Linked DNA regions of Saccharomyces cerevisiae S288C. Changing the gene in region 2 together with the main gene of any one other region gives a genetic interaction. Each region holds a gene or a part of one and is shown on either strand. Other genes may lie near its edges.

Evidence for each region.
Region 1: mutations in SMM1 (region 2) and IRC24 together harm fitness more than expected from each alone (negative genetic interaction), as found in Saccharomyces cerevisiae (2 studies listed by BioGRID).
Region 3: mutations in SMM1 (region 2) and NDT80 together harm fitness more than expected from each alone (negative genetic interaction), as found in Saccharomyces cerevisiae (2 studies listed by BioGRID).
Region 4: mutations in SMM1 (region 2) and TAN1 together harm fitness more than expected from each alone (negative genetic interaction), as found in Saccharomyces cerevisiae (3 studies listed by BioGRID).

Annotation. Positions count from the first base shown.
Region 1 is NC_001141.2:420,479-424,858, reverse strand, and holds IRC24 (sepiapterin reductase family protein IRC24), read left to right. Parts: upstream 1-1,993; coding exon 1,994-2,785; downstream 2,786-4,380. Other genes in the region: GTT1 (bifunctional glutathione transferase/peroxidase), read left to right, coding at 346-1,050; peroxiredoxin HYR1, read right to left, coding at 1,240-1,731; NRE1 (sepiapterin reductase family protein), read left to right, coding at 3,069-3,833; LYS1 (saccharopine dehydrogenase (NAD+, L-lysine-forming)), read left to right, coding at 4,123-4,380. UniProt on the Saccharomyces cerevisiae protein: Reduces benzil stereospecifically to (S)-benzoin. Also reduces 1-phenyl-1,2-propanedione to 2-hydroxy-1-phenyl-1-propanone. Is probably involved in a pathway contributing to genomic integrity.
Region 2 is NC_001146.8:651,518-656,595, forward strand, and holds SMM1 (tRNA-dihydrouridine(20) synthase (NAD(+))), read left to right. Parts: upstream 1-1,869; coding exon 1,870-3,024; downstream 3,025-5,078. Other genes in the region: PHO91 (Pho91p), read right to left, coding at 1-195; YNR014W (uncharacterized protein), read left to right, coding at 948-1,586; acetyl-CoA carboxylase ACC1, read right to left, coding at 3,156-5,078. UniProt on the Saccharomyces cerevisiae protein: Catalyzes the NADPH-dependent synthesis of dihydrouridine, a modified base found in the D-loop of most tRNAs. Specifically modifies U20 in cytoplasmic tRNAs. Also able to mediate dihydrouridylation of some mRNAs, thereby affecting their translation.
Region 3 is NC_001140.6:354,966-360,498, reverse strand, and holds NDT80 (transcription factor NDT80), read right to left. Parts: upstream 3,939-5,533; coding exon 2,055-3,938; downstream 1-2,054. Other genes in the region: ANS1 (Ans1p), read left to right, coding at 318-797; YHR125W (uncharacterized protein), read right to left, coding at 1,336-1,641; EPT1 (bifunctional diacylglycerol cholinephosphotransferase/ethanolaminephosphotransferase), read right to left, coding at 4,418-5,533. UniProt on the Saccharomyces cerevisiae protein: Transcription factor required for successful completion of meiosis and spore formation. Gets activated after completion of meiotic recombination at the end of prophase I.
Region 4 is NC_001139.9:60,324-65,056, reverse strand, and holds TAN1 (putative tRNA acetyltransferase), read right to left. Parts: upstream 2,983-4,733; coding exon 2,926-2,982; intron 2,868-2,925; coding exon 2,055-2,867; downstream 1-2,054. Other genes in the region: SAP4 (Sap4p), read left to right, coding at 1-554; YGL230C (uncharacterized protein), read left to right, coding at 842-1,285; chaperone EMC4, read left to right, coding at 1,437-2,009; Rab GTPase-binding exocyst subunit SEC15, read right to left, coding at 3,203-4,733. UniProt on the Saccharomyces cerevisiae protein: Probable tRNA acetyltransferase required for the formation of the modified nucleoside N(4)-acetylcytidine in serine and leucine tRNAs. Binds RNA.

The DNA.
Region 1 (4,380 bases), on a different chromosome or scaffold from region 2:
GCACCTCAAGCTCACACCAAAGTGGGCCCTAAGGGTGATCTGTATGCCAAGGCTAGCCTAATAGGAAAACCACCACCGGCAGTTACAACCTCCGTTAGCAACAGAGGGGGTGCCTCGCAATAGCCAAGGATAAGCCCCTCCTTGTTACTATGACAATCGCACTTTTCATGCTACGGCCATTTACTAATGATTTTCACCTCGTACCCGCTCGCTCCAGTATGGTGAAAATTTAGGGGAAGTGGATAACGTTGAAATACTATGGCAGAATCCTTATATATAAAACGATCGTTGATATTTTTTACAACAACCTAAAATGAGAGGGAAAAGGTAAATCAAGGAAGCATTATGTCGTTGCCAATTATCAAAGTCCATTGGTTGGACCATTCCAGAGCGTTCAGACTTTTGTGGTTATTAGACCATTTGAACCTTGAATATGAAATTGTCCCTTATAAAAGAGATGCTAACTTCCGTGCTCCACCAGAATTAAAGAAAATTCACCCATTAGGAAGATCTCCATTGTTAGAAGTTCAAGACAGAGAAACTGGTAAGAAGAAGATACTTGCCGAGTCCGGTTTCATCTTCCAATATGTCTTGCAGCATTTTGATCATTCACACGTTTTAATGAGCGAAGATGCTGATATTGCAGACCAGATTAACTATTATCTGTTTTATGTAGAAGGTTCCTTGCAACCACCTTTAATGATTGAGTTCATTCTTTCAAAGGTGAAGGATTCTGGTATGCCCTTCCCTATTTCGTACTTGGCAAGAAAAGTGGCAGACAAGATCAGTCAGGCATACTCTAGTGGTGAAGTTAAGAACCAGTTCGACTTTGTGGAGGGTGAAATTTCCAAAAATAACGGCTACCTGGTTGATGGGAAGTTGAGCGGTGCCGATATCTTGATGTCTTTCCCTTTGCAGATGGCGTTTGAAAGAAAGTTTGCCGCACCAGAGGATTATCCTGCCATTTCCAAATGGTTAAAGACCATAACCTCAGAGGAGTCGTATGCTGCTTCTAAGGAAAAGGCGCGTGCTTTAGGTAGCAATTTCTAAACCGTTTTGTTGCGTTCGTACGGCACTAGCAGCCGCGTAATTCGTTCACACACTTCAATACATATGTATGTATACGTATATAGTCTGTTGCGACACATAATAATTGACAGGTTTGACTAGCGAGTATGTATTATCAGGAAATATAAAAGAAAACTAAGCTTTACCTAACTTCAAAAGAAGAAGACCTGCCTATTCCACCTCTTTCAAAAGTTCTTCGATGGTTTCGGACAACGAAGAAGGTTTGGTTAGTGAAGAGTATCTTTCGTACACTTTACCCTTTTTATCGACTAAGAATTTTTCAAAATTCCATTTGATACCTCTCAAGCCCAACATACCGGATTTTTGGCTCTTCAAAAACTTGTAAACAGGGTCCTCATTGCCACCATTAACGTCAATTTTTTTCATAATGGGGAAAGTCACGCCATAGTTCAGTTGGCAGAACTGGGCAATTTCTTCATCAGAGCCAGGTTCTTGGTGGCCAAACTGGTTGCATGGGAACCCGATGATGGTAAATCCTTCGTCCTTATAACGTTTGTACAAGGCCTCTAGTTCTTTGTATTGAGGAGTGAATCCACATTTGGAGGCAACATTAACGATAAGCACCACTTTTCCCTTTAATTGGTCGAAGGGGAATGGTTGGCCTTTCTTGTCAACAGGTGCTAGCTTATAGAATTCTGACATGATAAACTTGAATACTTTACGAGATGACAGCTTGGAAGAGAGAGACGTGGAAAGCTCTGATGCTGTTTTTATTACTATTGCTTTTCCGATATTAAGGGAGCATACTGTTCCTCATGGTTTTTTCCCTCTTTTTTTCACTTTTTGACCTTTTTCGTAAAGTGGCTAAAAACGATAATGCAGAAAAAGAAGAAGGAATACAGGAAATAAGGGCTGTCGCGAACAGCAACAAGAGAAACAACTTATAATCTGTCAAAGAAGGGATATGGGCAAGGTTATTTTGATTACAGGTGCCTCCCGTGGGATTGGCCTGCAATTGGTGAAAACTGTTATCGAAGAGGACGATGAATGCATCGTCTACGGCGTAGCAAGAACGGAAGCTGGTCTGCAGTCTTTGCAAAGAGAATACGGTGCAGACAAATTTGTCTATCGTGTCCTCGACATCACGGACAGGTCTCGAATGGAAGCGTTGGTGGAGGAAATCCGGCAAAAGCATGGAAAACTGGACGGTATTGTCGCAAATGCGGGGATGCTAGAACCGGTGAAGTCCATCTCCCAGTCCAACTCCGAACACGACATCAAGCAGTGGGAACGGCTGTTCGATGTGAACTTTTTCAGCATTGTCTCTTTGGTGGCACTGTGTTTACCCCTCTTGAAGAGCTCGCCATTTGTAGGCAACATTGTCTTCGTCAGCTCTGGAGCCAGTGTGAAACCATATAACGGATGGTCGGCGTACGGCTGCTCGAAAGCCGCATTAAACCACTTTGCCATGGACATTGCCAGTGAAGAGCCCAGTGATAAAGTGCGTGCCGTGTGTATTGCACCGGGCGTCGTTGACACGCAGATGCAGAAAGATATTAGGGAAACATTGGGTCCTCAGGGCATGACACCCAAGGCTCTCGAGAGGTTTACTCAATTGTACAAGACTTCGTCACTGCTGGACCCAAAGGTGCCTGCGGCGGTACTAGCGCAACTCGTCCTGAAAGGTATTCCCGACTCTTTGAACGGTCAATATCTCCGCTACAACGATGAGCGACTGGGGCCGGTGCAGGGCTAGTACTAAACTATATTATGTAAAAGGGTATAGTTATAGTTTTTAGCTACTAAACTTTTATTGGGTTTGCGATGAGCGACAGTTTTGTGCGGCCATTTCTGTGCCAAGAACCGGATTGAATGTATCACCGAAGGAATTCCGCGGTGTTTTCAAAGAAATGAAGAGAAGACAGTATGAACATTAACTTTTGCATATATATACGTAAACGAAAAAGATCAAGTGCAATGGAAGAATATTGTACCTAAAAAAAAGGGTCTAACTACAGCGTGTAACAGGTTAAAAAAACATGGGTAAAGTTATTTTAGTTACAGGTGTTTCCAGAGGTATCGGTAAGTCCATCGTGGATGTTCTTTTCAGTTTGGACAAGGACACGGTTGTTTACGGTGTAGCCAGGTCTGAGGCACCCTTGAAGAAGTTGAAAGAGAAGTATGGCGACAGGTTTTTTTACGTTGTCGGTGATATTACCGAGGATTCCGTGTTGAAGCAGTTGGTTAACGCTGCTGTTAAGGGCCACGGCAAGATCGACTCCTTGGTTGCCAACGCTGGTGTCCTAGAGCCCGTGCAAAATGTCAACGAGATTGATGTCAACGCTTGGAAGAAGCTGTATGACATCAACTTCTTCAGCATTGTTTCCTTGGTTGGCATTGCGTTACCTGAATTGAAGAAGACCAACGGTAACGTGGTATTCGTCAGTTCGGACGCCTGTAACATGTACTTCAGCAGTTGGGGAGCTTACGGTTCTTCAAAAGCCGCTCTGAACCACTTCGCCATGACTCTGGCCAACGAGGAAAGGCAAGTGAAAGCCATTGCCGTCGCCCCAGGTATTGTGGACACAGATATGCAAGTTAACATTAGGGAGAACGTGGGGCCTTCCTCCATGAGTGCAGAGCAATTGAAGATGTTTAGAGGTTTAAAGGAGAATAACCAGTTGCTGGATAGCTCTGTGCCAGCTACAGTTTATGCCAAATTGGCCCTTCATGGTATTCCTGACGGTGTTAATGGACAGTACTTGAGCTATAATGACCCTGCCTTGGCGGACTTTATGCCTTGAGGATAGCAGGTACATATAAATTGTTACATACTAAGTCGATGAGTCAAAAAAGACTCTTATACATTTATACATTTTGCATTATTATTTTTTTTTTCCAGCGGAATTTGGAATTCCGCTCTCAACCGCCAAAATTCCCCTGCGATTTCAGCGACAAAGAGTCATAAAGTCATCCTCGAGAAACCACGATGAAATATATAAAAAGCCCATCTTCCCTGACGGAAACTGGTATTTTAGGAGGCATACCATAAGATAACAACGAAAACGCTTTATTTTTCACACAACCGCAAAAATGGCTGCCGTCACATTACATCTAAGAGCTGAAACTAAACCCCTAGAGGCACGTGCTGCCTTAACACCTACCACGGTTAAAAAACTGATAGCTAAGGGCTTCAAAATATATGTAGAGGACAGTCCACAATCTACTTTCAATATTAACGAATATCGTCAAGCAGGTGCCATTATAGTGCCTGCAGGTTCATGGAAAACCGCTCCACGCGACAGAATCATTATAGGTTTGAAGGAAATGCCTGAAACCGATACTTTCCCT
Region 2 (5,078 bases):
ATCTGGAGAAGCATCTGCCAATAGCGGCAGATTTTCATCGTTGGCGTCATGTGGCTCCACAACATGGTGCTTATTGTTACTGTACAGCTTATCTTTTTGCAAAGAATAGATCAATTTTTTCAGCTGCGAATAGGCCAGATACTTGGTAGACCATTCTGGTACAGAATTGAATTGTAAGGAATGCGAGAACTTCATGTCAGTCTGCAAGTTACCGTGTCACCTTCACAGTTTTCTTTTTATTTGACTAAGTAAAAAAAGAAAAGAAGTTATTTTTACTAAGATTTTGAGCGGCATTTTTCCTAGTTACTTATCAATTTTCATACATGCAAGACATACTCAATTTTTTTTTTTTTTTTTCAGTTTTAAAATTAGTCCTGATCAAAAAGCCATCACGTGGATCCCCGAAAAAAAACGGATCCGGGTAACCAGAAGTATTTTTTTCAAGGGAATAAAAGTTACCCTACCAAAATAAAAAAATTCAAGTAGGGTAATAAAGTTCCACCCCCCATCAGGATTATCGTTCTCTGACATCACCCACTCTCTGCTCGCTCTCTGCTCGCTCTCTGCTTTCTTTCCCCACGCCGGAGTGATTAAGGCGGATAGGCCCACCTGAACACCTCGCTCAGAACATCAGCGAGAGTTCCAGCCCCTCTACCCCTTACCTCTCGCCGCCCCTCATTTCGGATCAAAAGCAAAAGAACAAAGGGCCTTCGCAGAAACGGAAGGTTTCGACCCCTCGGTGCCGTTTTAATTTCTTTTTCTGGCCAGTTAAGCTTTTTGACTTTCTCGAATCAGCCCAGTGCAAAACAGTACGCATACGAGCACACAAATGTATATATATGTGTATGTATATATGTATATAGGTATGTGTGTGTACATCCGAAGCGTAAACTAATGATCTGCAAGTTTCAGATTTTTTCTCGAAAAATATAACTAATAAACGTTCCATGTCGTCCACGGATATCAAGCCTTGTGCCGTGAACATCCCTGTTTCCGCTCACATCACCTTCCACTACAAGTCGATCGCGGACAGAAGCAGCAGCAGGAGCAGCAGCAGCAGCTCCTGCTCCTCTGCTACATCTAAAGCCTGCTCCCCCAGAGGCAGCTCCGTCGGCTTACCGCCTGCTTTATCAACTGACAATGAAATCGTCGAGACTGTACTTAATGTTTCCGCTCCCGTTGTAGCAGACCCTACGCGGCCCTCATTGTTCAAGAGTAACTACACCGCAGCCTCGTGCTTGACTTCTGACCCAACCTCGCCGTCACTACTGCCCTCTTCTAGGCGCAACTCTGTATTGCCGGCAAGCGACTTCCACCAATGCGCGCATCACAAAAACTTTCAAAGAAGGGCCAGTGAGCCACAACTGCCCTCCTTCGATAATCGCTCGTCGTCCGAGATGAAAAGGTCCGTCTCGTACGCCCAGCATAGCATGATGTTCCCCATCAGTGACCAACAGGAGCCGCAAACATCCGCGTCTCCTAACGACCACTCAGACCCGTCTTGTCCTTGCAACAGACATCACCACAGAAGAAACTCGGTCGCCGTCAAGTTTGACAAACCATTGTATGAGAGACTAGAGACGTAGTTATCCATTCGTCCATCCATCTGTCTATCGTCACACAGCATTTCCCATCCCTCCTCTATACATACATACATATACAGTTCTGCGTGGTCTACGCAGCCATGTATATATATATTTCCGTCGTTTTATATATTCATTACTAAAATCGACAATGCATTTTTTGCCGCTTTCCATTTCCTCTACTTTGCTCATCACTTCGCTCGAAGAAAAAATGAAAACCGTCTTGAAAAACTTTTGCTATTTCATCCATCCAAGCCACACCAAATAGCGCAGTCACACAGAGATCATGGTTACATATGCTGGAAAACTGGTTCTAGCTCCAATGGTAAGAGCCGGCGAACTGCCCACGAGACTGATGGCGCTGGCCCACGGTGCAGATCTCGTCTGGTCCCCAGAAATCATCGACAAAAAGCTAATTCAGTGCGTCAGGAAGGAAAACACTGCACTCCAAACTGTCGACTACGTCGTGCCGTCCAAGGTTCAAACGAGGCCGGAGACGCTCGTTTTCAGAACATATCCAAAACTAGAATCCTCTAAATTGATTTTCCAGATCGGGTCTGCATCCCCGGCTCTGGCCACCCAGGCTGCTTTGAAAGTGATCAACGACGTCAGCGGGATAGATATCAATGCAGGCTGCCCCAAACACTTCTCTATACACTCCGGCATGGGCTCTGCCCTCTTGCGCACCCCAGACACACTGTGTCTCATCTTGAAAGAACTGGTTAAGAACGTGGGTAACCCTCACAGCAAACCCATCAGTGTGAAAATAAGACTCTTGGACACCAAGCAAGACACTCTACAGCTCGTCAAACGTCTGTGTGCCACGGGCATCACAAATCTTACAGTTCACTGCAGGAAGACTGAAATGAGAAACAGAGAGCAGCCCATCACAGATTACATTGCGGAGATCTACGAGATATGCCAGGCAAATAACGTGTCGTTGATTGTGAACGGCGCTATCCGCGACCGCTCTCATTTTCATGATTTACAAGCGAATCATTGGAAAAACACTAACATTGGTGGTATGATTGCAGAGTGTGCTGAACGGGACCCTACAGTTTTTGATCACACTTCTAAGCCTTCAGAAGACGGTCCATCTTGGGTCGTTGCTTGTCGCGAGTTTATTCAGTGGGCAACGAAGTTTGACAACCACATCGGCAATACAAAATACATGTTAAGCAGAATTGTCCCCGGAAAATCAGTCTTTTTTCAGTACTTTGCCCGTTGCAAGAGCCCGGAAGAAGTTAGTTTCGTACTAAAGCAATTGAACGATGATGGAAGCGCTCAAACAGATCCTTCAGAGTACTTGGAAAACTGCAGAGCTCAAGAAAAAGCTTTGAAAAACGCCAACGCCATCGCCAAGCAAAAGAGGAAACAGACCGATCACATAGGCAGTGACACTAAAAAGCAAAAGGTTGTACCCCTTCCCACAGATATATAATATATTCTAAGTAAAAAGAACGGATTATGAAAGAAAACGCGCATAATATATATATGTATGTATTTTCTAATTTATATTAGCAACTAAATTAAATTACATCAATACTATTTTTTTTTTTTACTTTACAAGGTTTATTTCAAAGTCTTCAACAATTTTTCTTTATCATCGGTAGATAACATCTTGATAACTTCAGATAATCCATCAATAGCATTGTCATGGTCGCTTCTGATCTTTTTAGCTAAGTCTTGAGCGAATGACTCTAATTTCAAACCCTTTAGTTTATCGTCCAAAGTTTTGTAGTTTTCTTCAATCCATGTTGCGACTTGCCTATCATCTTCATGGTCCACTGAAGCAGGGTACCACGATCTAATTCTTGCGATCTTTTCTAATCTTGATGCTTCGCCTACCTGATGGCTCAACCTTTTAATCAAATATTCTTCGTTCAATCTTCTTCTCAATCTCCAGAAGAAGAAACGACGTGCCTCGGTCCATTCCAGTTCCTTAGAAATAACACCCTTGGCCACCATACGTGAAGACCTATCGTGCAAATCAGCAAATTGAAGACTGATTTGTCCGTAAATTGGCAATAGTTCTCTCTCACGATCAGCTAATTGCTTGGATATTTGCTGATGTACTTCTGGAGCCAAACTCTTGTTGGATAATTGAGATCTCAATTCTCTGTACTTGTCATCCAATCTGTTCATGGTGTCCAGCAATTTTTCTCTACGGAACTTGATACCAACCATACCTTGTGGTTCCAAAACACCAGCTCTAGCGTTGACGTCGGCATACATTTCCATTTGGTCAGCGTTGATAGTTGGATCGACAACAACCCATGAACCACCTCTTAGTTCACCGGTAGGTGGGATATAGATAATAATTGGTTGTTTGTAATCCACCAATGCGTCAACAATAAACGAACCATACTTCAAGACTTCGTTGAACATATCACGTTGACCACCAGAGAAACCTCTCCAGTTGGCCAAAATCATCATTGGCAATTGTTCACCGTTGTTAAAGTCATTGATAGCTTGAGCAGTCTTGAAGGCGGAGTTTGGATGCCAAACTTGACCAGGTTCTTGAATTAATGTTTCAGCACTATTTGGATTAGCTGGATCAGCAGGAATCAAGTTCTCGACAGTTCTTGTTTCAACACCAATAACACCCAGTGGAATACCACCAAGACGGGCTCTACCAACGACAACACCTTTGGCCCATCCTGACAAAGTTTCAAAGAAAGACCCTTTATCAAACAAACCATATTCAAATCCACTTTCAGTCTCACGACCTTCAATCATCCATCTTACATCGTAAGTTTCATCATTAGTTGGAGTGAAATCAACTGGTCTATCCCATGTGTCTTTAGTTTCCAAGATAGGAACTGGCATATTACGCTTGGCTGGAACATAAGACATCCATTCAACAATCTTCTCTACACCAGCTAAATCGTCAACAGCAGTCAAATGTGAAACACCGTTGTTATACATGATTTGAGTACCACCCAATTGTAAGTTAGAAGTATAAACTTCTCTACCCAGCATTTTGTTGATTGCAGGAGCACCAGTTAAAATAATTGGCTGGCCTTCGACCTGAATAGCTCTTTGACCCAAACGAACCAAATAAGCACCGATACCGACGGATCTACAAGTGACTAAGGTGATAGTGAAGATATCGTGGTAAGCCCTTGACGTTGCACCAGCAATTAAACCAGATCCACGTAGACATTCGACACCTAACCCATCTTCAGAACCAATAATTGTCTTGATGACAAATCTTTCTTCACCGTTTATAACAGTACGTTCAGTGAGAACAGAATTTTCTTTGTCAAATTTCTTTAAAGTTTCCATACCTTCACTTGTTAAGTATAAGTATTGGAAGCCCTTGTCCGGATTGGCAGCATCATTCCATGCAACTTGAAATAGTGGAACAATCTCTTCAGCCATACCAATTCTGGCACCTGAGTTTGCAGCCAAGTAAATTCTTGGGATACCACGCTTTCTAGCATATTCAGTAACCTTATTGAAGAATTCGTCTTCTTGTGGACCAAAGGAACC
Region 3 (5,533 bases), on a different chromosome or scaffold from region 2:
TCGAAAATCCAAAAAGAAAGTTTCAGTCGTACCTGGTACCTTGAGTCGCGATTCTTCGTAGTACAAATTATAAATCTAGACCCCACTTTGATTACTTTTGATGCCAAACGTTTCTTTTGACCTCTTTCCTTTTTACTAGCATTTGTAAAAATATCCATGTTTTTGTAGCTCGAGGAATACTATATAAAGGTGAACCTCCTCCTCAAAAATAGCCAACATTAACTTCAATACTTCATGTAATTTAATTTTTATAATCTGTTCAGTCAGCATATAAAAAATATAGAACAGAATCAAACGAACATCATAATTAATCTACCATGAAGTGCACTTTAGTTTCCACATTGTTTGCCATCACCAATATTCTAGTTGCACATGCACAAGTAAGCAACTCCTCAGACACGTTGGACGTACAATTTGCGAATAGTACGAACTCGTACATAGAAGGAAAATTTAATTCGACTGATGAAGCCTTCAACAGCAGCGCATCTTGGTCCTTAGCAGCTCAGCAGAAAAAGATATCTAATGCAGCTGTATATGATGTGGGTGGTTGGAATGGCTCATTGTATCGTTCCAATAGAAGCGCTGTTGCAGATCATCAACCCGGCAAAAAGCAAGATGCCGCTATTTCACAGATCAGTGATGGTCAAATCCAAGCCACTGCGTCTGGACCTGAGACTACCGCTGCTACTACCCCAAGTAGTACCGCAAATGTCTCTGTCTATGAAGGTGCTGGTATGAAGGTTGAATCCAAGAACATGGGTTATATAGTTGGAGTAGCAGCGCTATTATTTTTATAATTTGGCCTCCAAATGTAAAAATTGTACAATTAAGGACAATAGTATTTTCATTTTATAAAAAATATGTACATGTTAGAATTTTATAAGCCGAAAAAGCAGTCATTTTACCAGTTGTTTTATTCTTATCAGATGTCATATTCATGAAAACATAACACTGGCCTACACATTACACTGATTTTGTTCTTTAGGACAAGAAGTTTTCCAGAAAGAGTTTGCTGTCATTCACCACCAGTATATTATCATATACAGTATAAGGAGATGACATGAGTCGTGAGAAGTAGTCAGCGAACTTTATGAGAGCTCAAATACAAGGATTGGTAAAGCAATAGTAAGAATTGAGTAAAATTATTACACAACAGTTGGGATTTCGTTGTTGTGAAAGGTTATAATATTAGGTTTTCAAAAATATATTAAAAGCCACCCTCGAAGATACAATAATTCCAAAAAGGGTATCGATACTTTTACACAATATTATTCTATTACACTACTAGTCCTTGCGTTTCAGCTTCCTTTATTTTTGATGACTTTTTTTCAATCTTTACGTAATGTTCTTACACACCATGTGATAATACACTACTAATGTGACTACTAGTTGACGGATGATGATGTTCCTTATTACAGCAGTGTCAAGCCAAATGCATACATCGTATATTAATGTGCGCCACGTTTGACGTTTAAGTGTCACTGTGCTATTATAGAATAAAGAAAATGTTAGCGAGTATTTCATACAGTACTGAAGCCGAATTGAAGATAATTGAACGTTGCTGTGATAATTATTCATAGAAATATTACAGAGGATCGTATTAAATGTTTGGCAACTACCAATCATTATTGCATTGATCATAATCAATAATGAATGACAAATATAAGATGGGGAAGAAGTAATGATAATATTATGTAGAAATATCGATTCCCTTTTGTGAACTTCAAGATCTCCGAAGAGAACTTCTAGTATACTCTGTATACATAATATTGTAACATTGATTAACAATTGAATCTCAAAATTATCAAATTATTCACCCAATCTTCATTATTCACCAAATATTCCCAACTATCAGTAGTTCTTCTGGCAACTAATAAAATACTTAACCTATTCTATGTAGATATGAAGGGAACTGATAACAAATAGTAAGCGGATTTAGCTCAGTTGGGAGAGCGCCAGACTGAAGAAAAAACTTCGGTCAAGTTATCTGGAGGTCCTGTGTTCGATCCACAGAATTCGCATATTTTTTTAACGATTTAAAATCATTAGTTTATTTAATACTTATAGAAACTATCTTCCTCAAACAATTCTTCCCTATTAAATATACCAGATGGTAGAGTACCGCTTGCAATCAACTTGACCCCTTTCGAATATACCCTATCTGCATTTTCTGCATCCATTTTTTGATAATAATTTTGAAACGAACCTGTTTCTAATATTCTTGAAAATGTCCTTGGCACATCCTCTTCCGTAGCTGGGAAAAGTGCAGTTTCCAAGTGAAAATTTTCTGCTGAGTTAGGTAGTATAGAGAAAGAAATATTTGAAAGGGAGAGTTCGTTACCATAGCTTGTTTTGCATTCAGAACGTGAGCCTATCTCTGGTCTTAGATAATTCTGTTCCATTGATTTCTTCTCTATTGTTATATCATAATTTTCATGAGGTAATTCATTGATTTTTTTGAATGCTAATGAGCCTACTTTGAAAATATTCTCATGTTCAAAAGAGCGTGCCGGTTTCAGTTCGATTTGCTTCATATTAACAGAAAAACTACTTGAGTAAACTAAATCCTCCTTTTCTAAACACCCTTCCATACCTCTTGAAGATGAACTCGGATATTTCAGAGAGGAATCTGGACATTGATTTTTCAAAGCACCCAGTTTGTTCTGGATATGTTCAAGAGTCTCCACCCTTTTATTTGGCCTGAAGAACGGATCCTCATTTTCCTTCGAAGCTTCCATTGGTGTGGATTGACGAGATTTGATAGGCGAGATGGAGGCCCCAGAGTTCGGTGCACCTAGCGCCACTTTGGATCGCCTTTTCGAAGGTCTTGCATTTAAGCAACTTTCATTTAACGGCTGCGCCATTGATGGCATTTTTCTTTTTGTGCTGTTTTGTGAGGAATTGACACTCGACGGTGTTCTCACAGTTATTCGCTGAGATGACGCATAGTTAGAAGGTGATCTTCCTCTAATAATAAGAGGAGGCGTTTTCATTTCTTGCAAATACACAAACATCCCTTTTGATCCATTTTTTAAAGCCAGTTCATCATAAGGAATTCCGGGATTCTCCCCATGAAAGGTATCTGGATCTACCACTGCACCTAAAATTACATGCAAGCTAAAGTGTTTATTTTGTTGGGATGGTTTCTTCACGCTAATTGATGAAGCAAATTGAACTCTTTCATAACGGGCAACTTTCTGAATAGAATCTTCTGGATAGGAAAACAATAAAGAGTCCACTCCATATTCTTCATAATTAACGTGGTCTCTGTGCAAATAAAAAGTGGAATCGTATTTTTTCATTTTAGTGATATTTCGAACATTTGAAGCTTCTCTTATGATTTGATGTTTTGGCAAAGGGGAAGGCACCAACGGACATACTGAAGGACAAAATTGAGGACCTTTGTCGCGTTTCGCTGTATGCTGGACGAGATTGATTTCCGTGTCGTCGTCGTCATTCTTAGCTTTTATTTTGATAGCGAAATATTGCACTCTTAATCTGCTTTCTACTGAAGAGTCTTCAACGAGAAGATCAAAACTGCTCTTTAAAAAAGTATCCAAATCACAATTTGCCGTTTCAAACGTTGATACTAAGGTAAAATAATTTCTTTTATAACCTACCCACTCTTCATCAATATGGTCGAACCCTCTGTCAATTCTTGGAATAATTCGTAAATCTAGTGTTCTTCCGGTATGAGACTCAACGACTGGACAATAATCTCTCACTAATTCAAATGGAGGTCCCACTTTGAACTGTAGTGTTGATCTAGGGGCAATTTTTAGTTTCCTTTTGTCGAAATAATTCGAAGTGGTGCCATCTTCATTCAACTGCGTAAGGATAACAGGCGTATCCTCTTCCTGTTCTGTGCTTAATTCCCTCTCATATTTGGATACGAGATCATCCTGTAATACTGGATCTGTGTTTTCCATTTCATTCATTTTAAGCGCTTTTTATAATATTGTTATTTCTCTTTAATGAAAGGTTAGTAAACTTTCAATTTTTTGCTTAAATAGGTGACACAAAATGGAGGGCAATTATAAGGGACCTTGGCTTTTCGAAACAAAAGACAACCGTTCTGGAGCTTTGTCAGAGAGCTGGGCGGTTGTATAGAGGACAGGCCTCGAGATATTTGAGATCTCGTTTTCTACTCTTTTGTGTCATACGGCCTGGCCGATTTTCTGACACTTTGCCCTCCAAGCCGCACCTGAAGCAGAAAACGTCAAATAGCCGCGGAAGTAACAATGTAAAGTCACATATACAGTAATAGGAATGAAACACTATGTATATTCAAGGACCTTTATAGTTCTATAATATAACGCTATCTATTACACAAACTTGAGATTGAAAATCTCACAGGGCGATAGATTCATTGTTGTGCCTTGTTTTCGAATAAAAAAAAGTAGATACAAAGTGCGATTTATGTCAGCTTGGAGCGCTTGATGGATAAAGCATAAACGTCCAGGTACTCAGTAAATTCATGGATAATGTCATTCATAAACATAATGTGAACACCTAGTGAGAGACCGAACCCAAGCCAAGATAGGGCAAAGACGATTTTATTAGACTCAATTCCCCAAAGGGATAGACATATTTTGTACAATACTATCTGGCACAAAGGAATTAACATGGGTGCATTGAACATGGGAAAGCTCTGCTTAGTTAAATGGCAAACGATTATTCTTCCGACGGTAAATGCTCCCGTGAAACCAACGGAAAGGATGAAAGAGAGTGTAATAAAGCTTGGTTGCATCCACACTAGTAAAGCAATGCTTGCATAATAGGCAAAAAAGGGCAAAAGACCTTTTATAGCACTATCTTGCTCAATTTGCGTGATATTGTTGGCCGAAGAAGTGCTGTTTCTATAATACTTATCCACGTTTCTTTTCGCAGACAATGCGTTCATAACCAAACCGAAAACAGCTAGGGAAAAAACAATATCTAGAGTGTCTACATCAATTACCTTATCACCAACTGTAATTGTAAATAAGTAGGTATGCCAGATTACCTGTTTTCCGTATATACCTGTCAGTATCAATGAAACGCAAACAATCAGGATGCCTTCCACGGGTCCAGAAAACTCACTTAAGTATAATGTGTGTGTATGGTACTCTTCCCAAGTACTTAAGTAAAAATTCGTCAGCATCGCAAATTGGGATAACATTAAGTTATACGAAAATCCCATTCCAGTTTCGGATGCGAAGATGAAAATAGACAGAGTAGAATTAATGGCATCAATACTATGATCGAATAGTTCTCCTAAGGGTCCTGATTGATTGATACGGCGAGCGTGTACACCATCACATCCATCGAACGTTTGATATAGGAATACACCTAAAGCGTAAGAAAAATATGTCCAGCGAGGCGTATCTGTGTTAAGGTTTGGATCGTAATAGAATACAGTCAACACGTTGATAACTATAAAAGCAAATCCTGATAATGTGATGATGTTGGGCGCCATCCACGTGGGAAATATGTGACAAAATCTTTGCCAAAATGGCTTTAAGAAATACTTCGATACCAGCGAGCGGTCTTC
Region 4 (4,733 bases), on a different chromosome or scaffold from region 2:
AGTCTACAAGATTTATCCCAAAACCTTTGTACGGCAGCAACCAAAAGTTACCTGTTAAAGACTTCCATATTATCTCTGATTTCATTTTACAAGGCCACAAGGATTCGTTTGAATTTTACGAAAAAGAGAAAACAAATTTAGGTTATATGGGTCAATTAGTATTAATTGCCGAAGAAATTGCGAAGTATTCCAAAATTTATAAGACCGATCTAATTGCTCCAGATATATATGCCTTCTTACAAGATGAAGTTTGGATGTCATATTCTAGTGACATCTTGAACGAAACAAGGACAATGTGTTCAATAATTCTTGGTGGAGGCCAGTTCTGTGCCGAAAGCGATGAAAATACTAACCAGGACTTTTTGGAAAAAGCTGATATGAGTAAACCAGCTCATCCATCCACAATGGATGAGAATGAAATTGTTCACGAGGAGGATGTTAAGTTGCATGATAAAGTTGCCGAGCTCATAGATGAATTGGGTCAATTAACCGAATTAGATATTCATGATAAAATTAAAGATGTTATTGTTGATCATCATTCCGACTTAAATTGATTAGGTTAAGTCGTCAAACCAATTTTGACTTTTTTTTTCCTACATTTTTAATATTTTGTTTCTCGTTTTGCCTTATTTAATTTTGTGACATGTAAAAATTACGAAGCCTATTGGGGGCCAATTGAAGTAAACTAAATATAACAATAGTCCTTTGTAGTTCAGGAATGTTCACCAACTATTCACCAAAAATTATTGTCTAGCTTACTTTCAATAACTTATAGCTATCTATACAAAAATAATCATATAACTAAAGTCAGGCCCAAACCAGGCAAAACAAAACCATAATAATGGGAATTATTACACTATCCGGCAATGTTCTACATTTATTGAAAGCCTACCCAAAAAAGGGCCTTGAAGAGGTTTCTCAACCAGAGCCTAATACAGCAAATGATTCCTCGACTGAATATAAAGGAAAAAGCAAGGATGATTTTCAAATGGTCGAAAAATCCAATACAGATGAGAGATACAATTTTACAAGAACGAAAAAATGGTTTTTATTGATGACCTCAGAATATTACAAACTAATGGAAAACAGACTTTTAATGTTTTGCATTATCGCTTGCTCTTTTATTTGTGCTATCCAATTTCTTTTCTTTATAATTTATTGGACCAACATTGTTCCACGGAAGACGCAAAGGGCAATAACTAACCTAAATTACGATTATTTAACAGCCCATCTAAAAGAGCAATGCGTTCCATATGCGAAAATTCTTGACCAATGTATTCTCTAGCAATCTCTGCTTTTGTACATTCGTAGTTTTTTCATGTTCCTTTCATAAATAATAAAAAAAGCGTATTCTTTTCTATATAAATAGAATGAAAAAAAGTTGAACATAATATCAGTTAAGGTTAAAATAAAGCCAAACGATATAAGCAACAGAAATGAGTGAACAGGAGCCTTACGAATGGGCTAAACACCTATTGGACACCAAGTATATCGAAAAATACAACATTCAGAACTCAAACACATTACCTTCACCACCAGGATTTGAAGGTAATTCCTCTAAAGGAAATGTTACAAGAAAACAACAAGATGCTACATCTCAAACTACTTCTTTGGCACAAAAAAACCAAATAACAGTATTACAAGTACAGAAGGCATGGCAAATTGCGTTACAACCAGCCAAATCTATTCCGATGAATATTTTTATGTCGTATATGTCCGGTACATCCTTACAAATCATTCCTATAATGACTGCCCTCATGCTACTCTCTGGACCCATTAAAGCAATATTTTCAACAAGGAGTGCATTCAAACCAGTGTTGGGTAATAAAGCAACACAAAGTCAAGTGCAAACTGCTATGTTCATGTATATCGTATTCCAAGGCGTCTTAATGTACATTGGATACAGGAAACTAAATTCAATGGGTCTCATTCCTAACGCTAAGGGTGATTGGCTACCCTGGGAACGAATTGCTCATTATAATAATGGATTACAATGGTTTTCCGATTGAGAGCGTATATACTTATATAAAATATCTATTCTGTTTCATATATGATTATTGTTTTACACTCTTATCTTCATCCTTTCGGAATTTCGATTCATAAAGCTGTTGAACGTTGTATTTACGATATTTGGTTTTATAATCCCCATCGACTACACACATTCCGATATTGCTCTTAAAACATTCCACTAGAATCAATTTATCATAGTTCTTCAAGTCCACAGTATGATTAAACTCAGAACCCTCTTTATTGACCAGCTTCACAACTTGATTAATGATGTCCATTCTTTCAATCGTATTGAAATTTCTTCTTGTCACTTCTACAGCAAATTTATAATTTTTTTTAACATTCGAAGGGTCATGAAAGTGTGGCCCAATAACCAAATTGGCCAACTTGATTAATTGCTCCATTTTTGCATTACAAGAGTACGTAATAGGTGTTAATTTCTGAACATATCTAGTACGTTTAACCATATTTTTGGGATCCGCTAAGTCTTTCATGATACTTAGCACAAATTCTTCGGGAACAATTGGCTTTCTTGTTTTACAAAATGTCACGCACTCACAGTTCAAGTCGATGAAGGCTAAGGGGTCTTTCTTCTTTGTCTCCCCTGAAGATAAATCTTTGCCTGTTTCTTCACCTTTCAATTCTTGTAATTCCTTTTTTATCTGGTCTTCAATTGATAGATCTTTCTTTTCGTCATTTTCACTTTCATCTTCTCCTTCTTTGATATCCCCATAGAGTTCTTGAAATTTTTCTTCGAATAAAAGCTGCAACTCTTGGGCTGCTTGACGTTCATGTCTTCTAGAACATGTGGCATATATTCCAGACGTACCAGGGTCTAAGAATCCGGAAGATACTTTAAACTATTACTTTTGATCGTTAGTACTTAAAGAACTCTAATTCGTGTGCAGACAGACATACTTTCTTCCTGTTTTGGGAATTTGCATCCTTACCATTACGGTTACGTTTTTCACCCATAATTAAGATACTTATTTACACTAATTGTATGATACTTTTCAATATATAGTAGACTTTTGAGATGTATTTGGTTGACGTGAAAAATAAAGAGTTATTCAATGATAAAAAAAAAATTTATTTGAAGTGAACTTTTTCGATGCTAAAACCAAAAAACTCAAGACTGTCCGAAATTCTTTCTTATGAACGTACAAATGATTATACTGAGATAATATCTAATTTTTTAACGTCTATTAAAAAATTTGGCTATCCTACTCGTATTAGAGTCAATGACACTCGCTGATTCAGAGTTGAATATGCTGCTACTATCCATTACGCTAGTGTCATCGCCGTTAGCTCCTTCTACAGATGAGACGAAGTGCTGAATCTTGCTCAACAAAAGAGCCGCATCTTCCTGTCTAATTCTTGAATATTTTCTTAATCTTATTTCTGGTTCATTATAATCTTTTCCCTGAGTCTTTAATAACTCTATACACTGCTTCAACTCCATAAATGTAGCTTCTAGCGATTTGATATTATTTTCAAATAATGTTGGTGCGTCAACACCGTTGGCATTTGGAAATGTAGGCGTCGAAGGGGTCATTGGCGACTGGTATCCATTACTATCTATAGTACCTGGTGTAGAGGGGAAAATTCTGGGAATAATGCTCTCTAAATAATTGACATCAACTTCAAAATTCATTATGCTTTCATGTGTAATTGTACTTGGTGTGTCATGCAATAATAGACCCATGAATTGTCTCGTCAAGGAGTCAAATTCACGGAAAATCAATAATGTTTGGACGCTGTATGGTAAATTTTGTAGCGTGCTGGCAAACATCATTTCTAAAAATTGTGCCAGATCAATGATGGAGATATCCGGGTCTTGCCTTACCTCCGTTATTTGCCAGTCAATTTCAATAGTTTCAAGAATATCTGATATCTTAGAATCGATTAATTCAATTAACTTTGTTTCTGCCAATTTTCTGCTTTCCGCAAGATATTTTATCGAGGATAACCGTATTTCCATATCCGGGTTTTGTAAAATATTCTCTCTTGTCATGAAGTTACTAAATTCTTTTGCTGCTATGATAAAATAATCTAAATTGACTAAGATTTGTGCAATTTCTTCTCTCGACGTACTTTCAAGTTTAGAACGAATTTTTTTATTGACGATATCATTAAATATATCGTCCATTGTTTTGACCAAAATATTATTCAAAGTGTGTAGCTCATGACGATAAAATATGGAAAGAAATGCGGTTATTTTAGAATATGTTTTCTTAGCAAGTGTACACGTCATTGGGTATAATGGAGAAAAAGGCAAAGTCACAGCAAATGGCTCTCCGTTGGTTGGATCTGGCAGGGAAAGGTGTTCGCCCTCCTTCATCCAGCAAATCTTCAAAACTTTCTCATATAATGTCTTGTCATTAATGGATAAAGGCATAAAATCATCATCGTTTAACAAGATTTGAAATTCATCGTCAAAAGCTCTCAAGGAAACAGAGCAGAATTTCTCGAAAATTGAAACCAAAATTTTATATAAAGGTTCGATGTTCAGTTTGAAATTTTCTAAAATGGCAACATAAATACAAAGAAAATCTTTCAATTTAATCATGTCTTCTTCTGTTTTCAGCTTCTCATCTATGAAATAACTCAAATATGGTGACAACCTGTCCATGAGTCCATCCCAAAATTCATTTGTAGAATTATAGTTATTATCAACGAGGATAAATTCTGTAGCTTTATTCAAATTAATATCATATAATAAGAAG